3 linked regions of the Saccharomyces cerevisiae S288C genome follow. The gene in region 2 interacts genetically with the main gene of each other region. Each region holds a gene or a part of one and is shown on either strand. Other genes may lie near its edges.

Evidence for each region.
Region 1: mutations in FRT2 (region 2) and FRT1 are lethal when combined (synthetic lethality), as found in Saccharomyces cerevisiae (2 studies listed by BioGRID, with this or other methods).
Region 3: of FRT2 (region 2) and HIS3, extra expression of one rescues a mutant of the other (dosage rescue), as found in Saccharomyces cerevisiae (one study listed by BioGRID).

The regions. Positions count from the first base shown.
Region 1 is NC_001147.6:922,715-926,736, forward strand, and holds FRT1 (Frt1p), read right to left. Parts: upstream 2,327-4,022; coding exon 518-2,326; downstream 1-517. Other genes in the region: PRO2 (glutamate-5-semialdehyde dehydrogenase), read right to left, coding at 1-191; MYO2 (myosin 2), read left to right, coding at 3,007-4,022.
Region 2 is NC_001133.9:91,087-95,010, reverse strand, and holds FRT2 (Frt2p), read right to left. Parts: upstream 2,112-3,924; coding exon 525-2,111; downstream 1-524. Other genes in the region: DNA-binding protein SAW1, read right to left, coding at 1-324; MYO4 (myosin 4), read left to right, coding at 2,741-3,924. UniProt on the Saccharomyces cerevisiae protein: Required for growth under high NaCl, alkaline pH and cell wall stress.
Region 3 is NC_001147.6:719,970-723,108, reverse strand, and holds HIS3 (imidazoleglycerol-phosphate dehydratase HIS3), read right to left. Parts: upstream 1,164-3,139; coding exon 501-1,163; downstream 1-500. Other genes in the region: DEAD-box ATP-dependent RNA helicase DED1, read right to left, coding at 1-198; MRM1 (Mrm1p), read left to right, coding at 1,401-2,639; BFR1 (Bfr1p), read left to right, coding at 3,044-3,139.

The sequences.
Region 1 (4,022 bases), on a different chromosome or scaffold from region 2:
AAAGAATCCGCTAGGCCAGTCTCTTTGGCAACAGCTAAATCGATTTTATTCGCTTCTTCAATGGCATGCGCATTAGCCTTCAGGGCATCGTGAATTTTGTATAAAATATCTGATCTGCCCTCGTTTGAGATGGTTTTCAAAATATTCCCTGCTTTACGGGCATTTTTGGCTATTTGTTGTGAACTGGACATCTTTATATTGGTTGCCTGTGCTCCTTTTTGTTCTTACTCTTTTTACCAATACGCTTTTACTTTTTCTCTTCTTTTCTTGAAGCTTTTTGAAAAACGTCTGTCGACTTTTTTCATTTTTTGACTCATTGACCCAACGCCACAAATGAACAAAGAAATTTGGCCACTGCATCGCCTTTCCTGCCCCATTGATTCAAATGTCCATGCGCGTTGATTGATGTGTGATATATATATATATATATATGTATATAGATGTATATTATTATGTTCAGAGGTGATTTTATCTTTGTACGCGTACCATTTTTGTAAAGTGACCTTGTTTTGACTTTTTAACGAGTAAAAAAACGAGTTAACAAATTCTTGACGTAAACGATAAAGCCGCCCATCAAAAGAAATGCAATAATGTCAATGATGAAATACCTATACAGGTAGATGGATTTCGTGTTGTTCTTCGATTTATTTAACACGTTTTTCAGCTCTATCAAACTATCCATTTCCCTTAGAGAGGACTTTTGTTTATTTAATCTCTCTTGGCAAACCTCCATTCTCCTTTCCAATCCTTGTAATTGCGCTACACTTTCTTCGACTGATATCTTTAATTCATTAATAAACGCCTTATTGTCATCCTCGTCAAAGTCTGATTTCAACTTGACCAAGAATTGATTAATCACCGTGGTTCGCAAGGTGGTCATTTCGTCTAATAAAAGGGTTAACTCTCCTGATAGAAGATCATACTTTTGGATAGTTTTTTGAACGTTGTTTTCATTCTTGATTATTGTATCGTTTAAATTTCTTCTCATCTCATTCTCGATCTTCACTAGAAGTGTCGAAATATGATTTTGATAATAATTCAATTCATCAATGTTATCATTCAAATTTGAGTTGCTCTTCGAAATAGAGTTTGAGCTAGAATCAGGAGTGGCTGCGGAGCCATTATTATTGTTCACCTTCAGTACACTCTTGAACCTAGTGGAAGAATCCGCTGACTTCTGCCTATTCAGTAAATACTTAAATCCCAAGGTATCGGTGCCAGGTGCAGTGGAAGAGCCTGATGAATTCCTTGGTTTCCTCTGGTTAGTCAAATATCCTAAAGAGGGATATACACCGTTTAAACTTCTTCTATCCACATCTTCTGAATCTGATGAGGTGGATGACGTGGACGAAAAGGCTGATGACGACAAAAATGCTGGTACATTAGAACGGGAATACAGAAATGACGAAGAATCGTTGACAGCAGAACCGTCCAAATCATGATAAAACAAAGATGTGCTGGGGGAGGAGTTTACGGAAATTTGTGATTGAGAATGCATATTCCCTAATTTAATGCCGCCAGCGGTGGATGAGGGCTCAAACACTACCGACTCCCTCAACGTATCAAATGGGTCTGAATTTCCCAAAGAAGGCTGTAAAAATTGGTTAACCAATCGTTTCCTCTCATAATCAAAAGAACCAGCGGATGATCTACGTTGCGAAGAGGAGGAACCCTGTATTTGATTGAAAGCTAGCCCAGTATGACAGCTTTGGAAAACGGACATCGAACCACGACGTCCTTTACTAAGGCAAGACAATCTGGCCCTATTAGAGTTGAAGTCGGTTTTCGGCGACACTCTGAATGGATCATCCAAACTGGATGCCCCACTATATGATCTACTGTGTCGACCTACTCTGTTATCGATGTCATCTTCAAACAAAAAATCGCTAAACTTCCCGGTTTTGGTCGATCCCAGGACAGGTAAGCTAGTCATTTCCAATGAACGTTGTCGTACCCCATGTGCCCTATTCTTTGTCACATATAAATGTCTCCTATCATGCAGCGCAGGCTGTTCCTCCTTTTCTTTCTCCCTTTCCTTTTGTAACAACGATCCCAAGTTTACTTCAGTGCTTGGTCTTGGGACCACCGGATTATCATTCACTGCTATGACAGGTAATCTAGAAGATGATTTCGAAAAGTGTGCAACATTTGTTTTAGCTTGTAGAGGTTCCGGCTGCGGCTGCGGCTGTAGACCGGATTCTTTTATCTTCACTGCGTCGCCACTGGAAGCCCTTCTTCCCTTACAAAAGCCTCTTGGGAATGAAGGAGGTAACAGGGTACAGTTCCTCGATCCGGGATTCTCCATCCGGTCAATTAGCAAGTTCATTTTCACTTAATGTATCAACTATAACTTAAACCAAAAAAAAAAAAAAATTTAGATATGGGAAGGTCTTTTCCTCCACAAATAGGGTGAACTATCCGACCCAGATCAATAAATAAATAGGCTCGAAGACGCCTCAGAACTCCGGTCACTGGTTTGTCTTGTTGATATACGATGTGCCAAGCGCCGTTTCTCGATGCTTATCTGGTTTAGTTTACGCTGTTAAAACCAAAACCCCAACAGATTTTCGACCCTAACGTATGTAGGGCTAAAATAGATATTGAGTAGGTTACAATTAATTATTGGCAATTGCACCTAGTGACACATTTACGAAAACGTAGGGCAAAAACTATTACCCGACCCAGGGCTATTTTGTGATTTTTTCCTTTTTTTTGTTTATGATCGCGCTTCTCGAAAAGCCAAATATCAGAAATCCCAAACACGCCTTCATTTGATACGATTCGTAGCCTGCGTTTCAGAGATCTATCAACTTTGCAAGGCCAATCAGAGAACAAAAAAGTCTCGCAAAGTCATTTCACTTTTCTCGCTTGAAATTATTCGTTCGATTTCTGGCTGCTTGCTTGTTTTTTGTTTTCTAAGGTACTATTCGACACCATTCCATTGGACAGCGATACTTATACCATTGTACATATAGGACATAAAAACAGCAGATATTACAGCGTATAATGTCTTTTGAAGTGGGTACACGATGCTGGTATCCCCATAAAGAATTGGGCTGGATTGGGGCGGAAGTAATCAAAAATGAGTTCAACGACGGCAAGTACCACCTGGAGTTACAATTGGAAGACGATGAAATCGTGTCCGTGGACACAAAAGACTTGAATAACGATAAGGACCAATCTCTACCGCTTCTTAGAAACCCTCCCATTTTGGAAGCAACGGAAGATTTGACCTCTTTATCTTACTTGAATGAGCCAGCTGTTTTACATGCCATCAAACAGCGCTATTCTCAATTGAATATCTACACATACTCGGGTATTGTTCTGATTGCTACAAACCCTTTTGATCGTGTCGACCAGCTTTATACACAAGACATGATCCAAGCATATGCGGGAAAGCGCAGAGGTGAACTGGAACCTCACTTGTTTGCCATTGCCGAAGAAGCGTATAGGTTGATGAAAAATGACAAACAAAATCAAACCATTGTGGTAAGTGGTGAATCTGGTGCTGGAAAAACGGTTTCTGCCAAGTATATTATGCGTTATTTTGCTTCTGTAGAAGAGGAAAATTCCGCTACTGTACAACATCAAGTGGAAATGTCGGAAACAGAACAAAAGATTCTAGCTACAAACCCTATCATGGAAGCATTTGGTAATGCTAAGACTACCAGAAATGACAATTCTTCCAGATTTGGTAAGTATCTAGAAATTTTATTCGATAAGGACACATCTATTATTGGAGCAAGGATCCGCACATACTTGTTGGAACGGTCCAGATTAGTTTACCAGCCGCCAATTGAGAGAAACTACCACATATTTTATCAATTAATGGCTGGATTACCAGCTCAAACCAAGGAGGAATTGCATCTTACCGATGCCTCAGATTACTTCTACATGAACCAAGGCGGTGACACCAAGATCAACGGTATTGATGATGCCAAAGAATACAAAATTACAGTAGATGCATTGACATTAGTCGGAATCACCAAGGAAACTCAACACCAAATATTTAAGATCTTGGC
Region 2 (3,924 bases):
ATCAGTAGAATGACCAACTCTTATTTTGCTGAGTACGGAACTGATGATTTCCGGGGACGCTAGTTCGTAAACAATCAATAACAGGTCCTCCTTGATCTCGTCACAAAGATTCTTCTTATCTTGTTGCGATAAATATATTCTTGTATTTGGTGATTTTAAGCAGATTATGGAGTTATTTGATAATAATGGTGCTTCAAATATAGTGGCATTCGACTTATTGCTAGTCTTATCATTGGTTTGAAGGATCTGCTTTCTATTGACAAATATACGTAATGGCAAAACCATGTCCCTGGCTATCTTTACCGTTGCTATACTTGGTGCCATTTTTCACGGTTACTGTGAAGTCCAATATACTCAATCTTCTTGTATTCTTCCCTTTCAGGCCTGTCCTTTTCTATTTCATTGCCCTTTTTTCCACTCATCTTTCCACTTGATTAAAAATACCAGAAGAAGCACATTTTTACATTTATACGTTACATATGAAAAAATCACAGGATCATTTTTTGATATACAAATACTATTTTTTATTTATGCGATACTAGATGCTTGAAGGTATAGCATATGACGATGATGATAATTAAAAAGACAATATCAAGGGCCTCGTTGCGGTATTTAGATGCGAATGTTACATTTTTTTTGGATATCATTAAGGAATTCTCCAAAGACAATAAACTTTCCATTTTCCTCATTACTTCCTTCCTAGAGGCCAACCTGTCTTTGCAAGAAGCCATTCTTTTCTCTAAATCTTGTAATTTTGCCACGTTTGTATTTATTGTATCACTCAAACGTGCCTCAAATGATTCGGGGTTTTCCTTGTCAAAATCCTGTTTCAAATTCATTAAATAATCCTCTTCAACAAGCTCTTTCCATCCAATGGTCCTGGATCTTAAGTCCCTTAGCTCTTTAACGATCTTGTCAAAATTTGCAATGTTTTTAACAAGGTCATTTTCATCTTTCAGAACCTCATCTTTCAAACTGTGCTTTAGTAAAGCTTCTGTCTGCTGTAACTGCAATCCGATATGACGCTGATAGTAGTCTAATTCATCTGAATTTAGCGAAAGATTCGAACTACTATATGTGATATTTCCAGGAGGTTCAAGAGGATCAACAGCCACTGACTGTGAGAATGACGTCGATGATGAAGACGATGAAGAAGAAGACAACGAAGATGAGGACGACTGCGAAAACGATGCATTGCAGGCGTCTTTTGGCGAAAGCCCAATGGGATTAGCAACGGCAGGAGAGGATTCGGAAGCTACAGAGGGCGGTCTTGAGGGCGAAACATGTTTCTTTGGTGAGCTTTCAAGATCATGGTAAAGCAAGCTCTGTAACGATATATCTGTCTGCGTGCTAGAACTCCCGTCTGATGAATGCGAATGATGTGTGGGTCGCTTGGAAGGCTTAGATATAACATTGGGCAATATTGGATCGAAAGCCGGCGCCAGTGCAGACGAATCCTTAGATTGCCCAGACGAAGAAGGCTCCATGGATTTCAAAAACCGGTGAACCAACCTTTTCTTGTCCTTCACGAAGGACCGGGAAGGTGATTTAAGACCGTACTTGTCGTTGTCTTTGTAATGGCGATGGGCTGGGTGCTGCTGGGCTTGCAACATCTTAAATGAGGGAAAATGGTCTTTGGCAGAGTATCCACCATCGAGAGGCTTTGATTCTACACTATGCTGCGGGAATGGTCCTTTAAAGGTGGCGACTACGTTAAATGGGTGTTTTGGCGAGAGTCCAGAAGACTTCATCGTACTGAGACTTCGTACTTTATCTGGTGCTGCGTTGAACATACAATCGCTGAACATTGCGGTCGAGGCAGACGTGTAATCCGGAATAACTTGACGATGCAGTTTATGACGAGCATGATGGTGCTCCATTTCATATTTCTGCTCTTTTTCGTGTAATGCAGCCAAATTACTGTGAGAGGCTTGCCATCCAACGTTTGGCTTAGTTTCAACAGTAGATTTGTGGCCAACATCTGGTGTTCCAGCGTCAATCATTTGCTTTACATCTTCCAGGGGTCTCTTTTCTACACCATCTTTGCTATTGCGATCTGTACCATCTATTCCGCTGCCTTTAGAAGAGCTCTTTATTTGAGCATTTTGCATTGTACCTGGACAACTACTGGACTACGTAAAAAACTGCCATCAATTTGTGTTATTCTTACTCTTTGAGACAATGTTTCATAACAATAGAACAATAGCTTTTTGACCTTCCCCTTATTTTATTTCAAAAGGTAACAGTTAGGGCTATTCTTAAACTTTCTTTAGGGTACACAATGAAAACATCAAGATTGAGTTAAAACCCTTAAAATAAAACTAGGTCTTTAAGAAACTCACTCTCCGGGTTATCCATAGAATGTTTACCATTCTTTAGGGTTCTGAACTAATGCGAAAAAAAAAAAAGAAAAGACTGAAAAATTCGAAAATATCTCGAAGTTTAGCAGTAGTAGATGAGAATAGGGTCTCTTTTATCGAAAACCTGCAATTGTAATACAACCTTTTTTTGAAAGTCAGCCTTTATTCTGATTCTGCATACTCAATTCCTCAATTCCTACGGAGTTATCACCTTTTTTTTTACCTTCTCTTCTTTTCTTATTGTTCTAGCTGAAAACATTGTTACCAGTTTGGCGAGACAATTTATTTTCAATACGATACCCTTTTGTTCTTCTTTTTATAATTCAATCTAATTCTAAAACACAAAAAAACAAAAAAAATCCTATAACCAGTTCTCCCGCATGTCATTTGAAGTAGGAACTAAGTGTTGGTACCCTCACAAAGAACAAGGCTGGATAGGCGGCGAAGTCACCAAGAATGACTTCTTTGAAGGAACGTTCCACTTAGAGTTGAAATTGGAGGATGGAGAAACTGTATCCATTGAAACAAATAGCTTCGAAAATGATGATGATCATCCCACGCTACCTGTACTACGAAACCCACCTATTTTAGAGTCTACTGATGACTTAACCACCCTATCATATCTGAACGAACCGGCAGTGCTGCATGCCATAAAAAAAAGATACATGAATGGACAGATATATACTTACTCTGGTATTGTCCTTATTGCCGCTAATCCCTTTGATAAAGTCGACCATTTGTACTCTCGCGAGATGATACAGAATTATTCTAGTAAGCGTAAAGATGAGCTGGAGCCGCACCTTTTTGCCATAGCAGAGGAGGCGTACAGGTTCATGGTCCATGAAAAGGCTAACCAGACTGTTGTAGTCAGTGGTGAATCCGGTGCTGGTAAGACCGTCTCTGCTAAATACATTATGAGATACTTTGCCTCAGTCCAAGAAAGCAACAATCGTGAAGGGGAAGTGGAAATGTCTCAAATCGAGAGCCAAATTTTAGCTACTAACCCGATCATGGAAGCCTTTGGTAACGCCAAAACTACCAGAAATGATAATTCCTCTCGTTTCGGCAAATATCTGCAAATTTTATTTGATGAGAATACTACCATCAGGGGGTCCAAAATTAGAACCTATCTCTTGGAAAAATCCAGGTTAGTTTATCAGCCAGAGACAGAAAGAAATTACCATATTTTTTACCAAATTTTGGAAGGATTGCCAGAACCGGTAAAACAAGAACTGCATTTGTCATCTCCCAAGGACTACCATTATACTAACCAAGGTGGACAGCCGAACATAGCTGGTATAGATGAAGCTCGAGAATACAAGATAACCACTGATGCCCTGTCATTAGTAGGTATAAACCACGAGACTCAGCTTGGAATTTTCAAAATTCTTGCAGGCTTGCTACATATAGGTAATATCGAGATGAAAATGACTAGAAACGACGCATCACTATCATCGGAAGAGCAAAACCTGCAAATCGCATGTGAATTATTGGGTATTGATCCCTTCAATTTTGCAAAATGGATTGTCAAGAAACAAATCGTCACAAGGTCTGAAAAAATTGT
Region 3 (3,139 bases), on a different chromosome or scaffold from region 2:
GCCGTAACCACCACGACGGTTGTTGCTAAAGAAGCTGCCACCGCCACGGCCACCGTTGTAGCCGCCGTTGTTGTTATTGTAGTTGCTACTGTTATTTCTGGCACTTCTTGGTTTTCCTCTTAAGTGAGGAGGAACATAACCATTCTCGTTGTTGTCGTTGATGCTTAAATTTTGCACTTGTTCGCTCAGTTCAGCCATAATATGAAATGCTTTTCTTGTTGTTCTTACGGAATACCACTTGCCACCTATCACCACAACTAACTTTTTCCCGTTCCTCCATCTCTTTTATATTTTTTTTCTCGAGTTCAAGAGAAAAAAAAAGAAAAAGCAAAAAGAAAAAAGGAAAGCGCGCCTCGTTCAGAATGACACGTATAGAATGATGCATTACCTTGTCATCTTCAGTATCATACTGTTCGTATACATACTTACTGACATTCATAGGTATACATATATACACATGTATATATATCGTATGCTGCAGCTTTAAATAATCGGTGTCACTACATAAGAACACCTTTGGTGGAGGGAACATCGTTGGTACCATTGGGCGAGGTGGCTTCTCTTATGGCAACCGCAAGAGCCTTGAACGCACTCTCACTACGGTGATGATCATTCTTGCCTCGCAGACAATCAACGTGGAGGGTAATTCTGCTAGCCTCTGCAAAGCTTTCAAGAAAATGCGGGATCATCTCGCAAGAGAGATCTCCTACTTTCTCCCTTTGCAAACCAAGTTCGACAACTGCGTACGGCCTGTTCGAAAGATCTACCACCGCTCTGGAAAGTGCCTCATCCAAAGGCGCAAATCCTGATCCAAACCTTTTTACTCCACGCACGGCCCCTAGGGCCTCTTTAAAAGCTTGACCGAGAGCAATCCCGCAGTCTTCAGTGGTGTGATGGTCGTCTATGTGTAAGTCACCAATGCACTCAACGATTAGCGACCAGCCGGAATGCTTGGCCAGAGCATGTATCATATGGTCCAGAAACCCTATACCTGTGTGGACGTTAATCACTTGCGATTGTGTGGCCTGTTCTGCTACTGCTTCTGCCTCTTTTTCTGGGAAGATCGAGTGCTCTATCGCTAGGGGACCACCCTTTAAAGAGATCGCAATCTGAATCTTGGTTTCATTTGTAATACGCTTTACTAGGGCTTTCTGCTCTGTCATCTTTGCCTTCGTTTATCTTGCCTGCTCATTTTTTAGTATATTCTTCGAAGAAATCACATTACTTTATATAATGTATAATTCATTATGTGATAATGCCAATCGCTAAGAAAAAAAAAGAGTCATCCGCTAGGTGGAAAAAAAAAAATGAAAATCATTACCGAGGCATAAAAAAATATAGAGTGTACTAGAGGAGGCCAAGAGTAATAGAAAAAGAAAATTGCGGGAAAGGACTGTGTTATGACTTCCCTGACTAATGCCGTGTTCAAACGATACCTGGCAGTGACTCCTAGCGCTCACCAAGCTCTTAAAACGAGAATTAAGAAAAAGTCGTCATCTTTCGATAAGTTTTTCCCACAGCAAAGCAATAGTAGAAAAAAACAATGGGAAACGTTGAATGAAGACAAAGCGTCGTGGTTTAAAAGGAAATACGCTCACGTACATGCTAGGGAACAGGACCGTGCAGCGGATCCATATGGCAAGAAAAAGGCCCACGTCGAGAAGCTAAAGGAGATCAAGAATCAGGCGAAATTAAACCAAAAGAGCCATAAATCCAAGTTCCAGAATAAGGACATTGCTCTGAAACTTATGAATGATAATCCTATCTTCGAATATGTCTACGGCACCAACAGCGTTTATGCAGCGTTGCTGAACCCGAGTAGAAATTGCCATTCTCGGTTGCTGTACCATGGCACTATTCCTAGTAAATTTCTTCAGATAGTCGATGAACTGAAGGTTACGACAGAGCTGGTGGACAAGCACAGATTAAACTTGTTGACCAATTACGGGGTGCACAATAACATTGCTCTTGAGACAAAACCTTTGCAGCCTGTGGAGATTGCGTACCTAGGCGACATGGACACCAGTTCAGCAGCATTAAGCATTCACGAGCTGGGCTTCAATAACGAAAATATACCTCATGAACTGCCTTATGGTACGAAAACAGACGCTAAGAAGTTTCCTCTCGGGTTATATCTGGATGAAATAACTGACCCTCACAATATCGGTGCCATTATTAGAAGCGCTTACTTCCTGGGGGTTGACTTCATTGTGATGTCGAGAAGAAACTGCTCTCCTTTGACGCCTGTGGTGTCCAAGACAAGCAGTGGGGCCCTCGAACTTCTGCCCATATTTTACGTTGATAAACCGTTAGAGTTTTTTACTAAATCACAAGAAATGGGTGGCTGGACGTTTATTACAAGCCACTTAGCTAATGCCACGTCAGAAAAATACACTGTTGGAAAAACTATTAGCATGCACGATTTGAACGGATTATGTAACGAGCTGCCTGTTGTTCTAGTGGTGGGGAACGAAAGCCAGGGCGTAAGAACGAATTTGAAGATGAGGAGTGACTTCTTCGTCGAAATTCCCTTTGGTGGCATTGAGAAAGGCAATCGGGCCCCAGAACCCATTGTTGACTCACTAAACGTAAGCGTGGCTACTGCATTGTTAATAGATAATATTCTAACTTGTAAATAACCGTCATATAAAGTAGCACAAACATACATAATAAGCCTATATACATTATACATGTGTAATGGTGGTGGTACGCGAAAAATTGCTTACCCGCACTGTGGCGGTGAAAAAAAATAACTGATCTCGACGACGTTGAACACGTAATTCGCATTTTATCTCGAACATTTATAAGCCAAATTGAGTTTCGAAAATTGCTTGGTTGCGTTATACATAGCATTAAAGTACGACGGAGTCTATTTTCTATTTTAGGTTCATCCTTTTTTTTTTTTTCATTTTGCCCCTCCATCTCCATTTTTCACTCATTCTGGTCATTTCTTCGTTCAGTTTCATTCACATTTTTGAACTGATTTCACCTTTCCTCCTTTTATCAACGTAATAGCATATTTTCTAACAACACAGCCATTGCCATGTCCTCCCAACAACACAAGTTCAAGCGCCCAGATGTCTCCGTTAGAGACAAGAAATTGGACACTCTTAACGTTCAATTGAAAAAAATCGACACT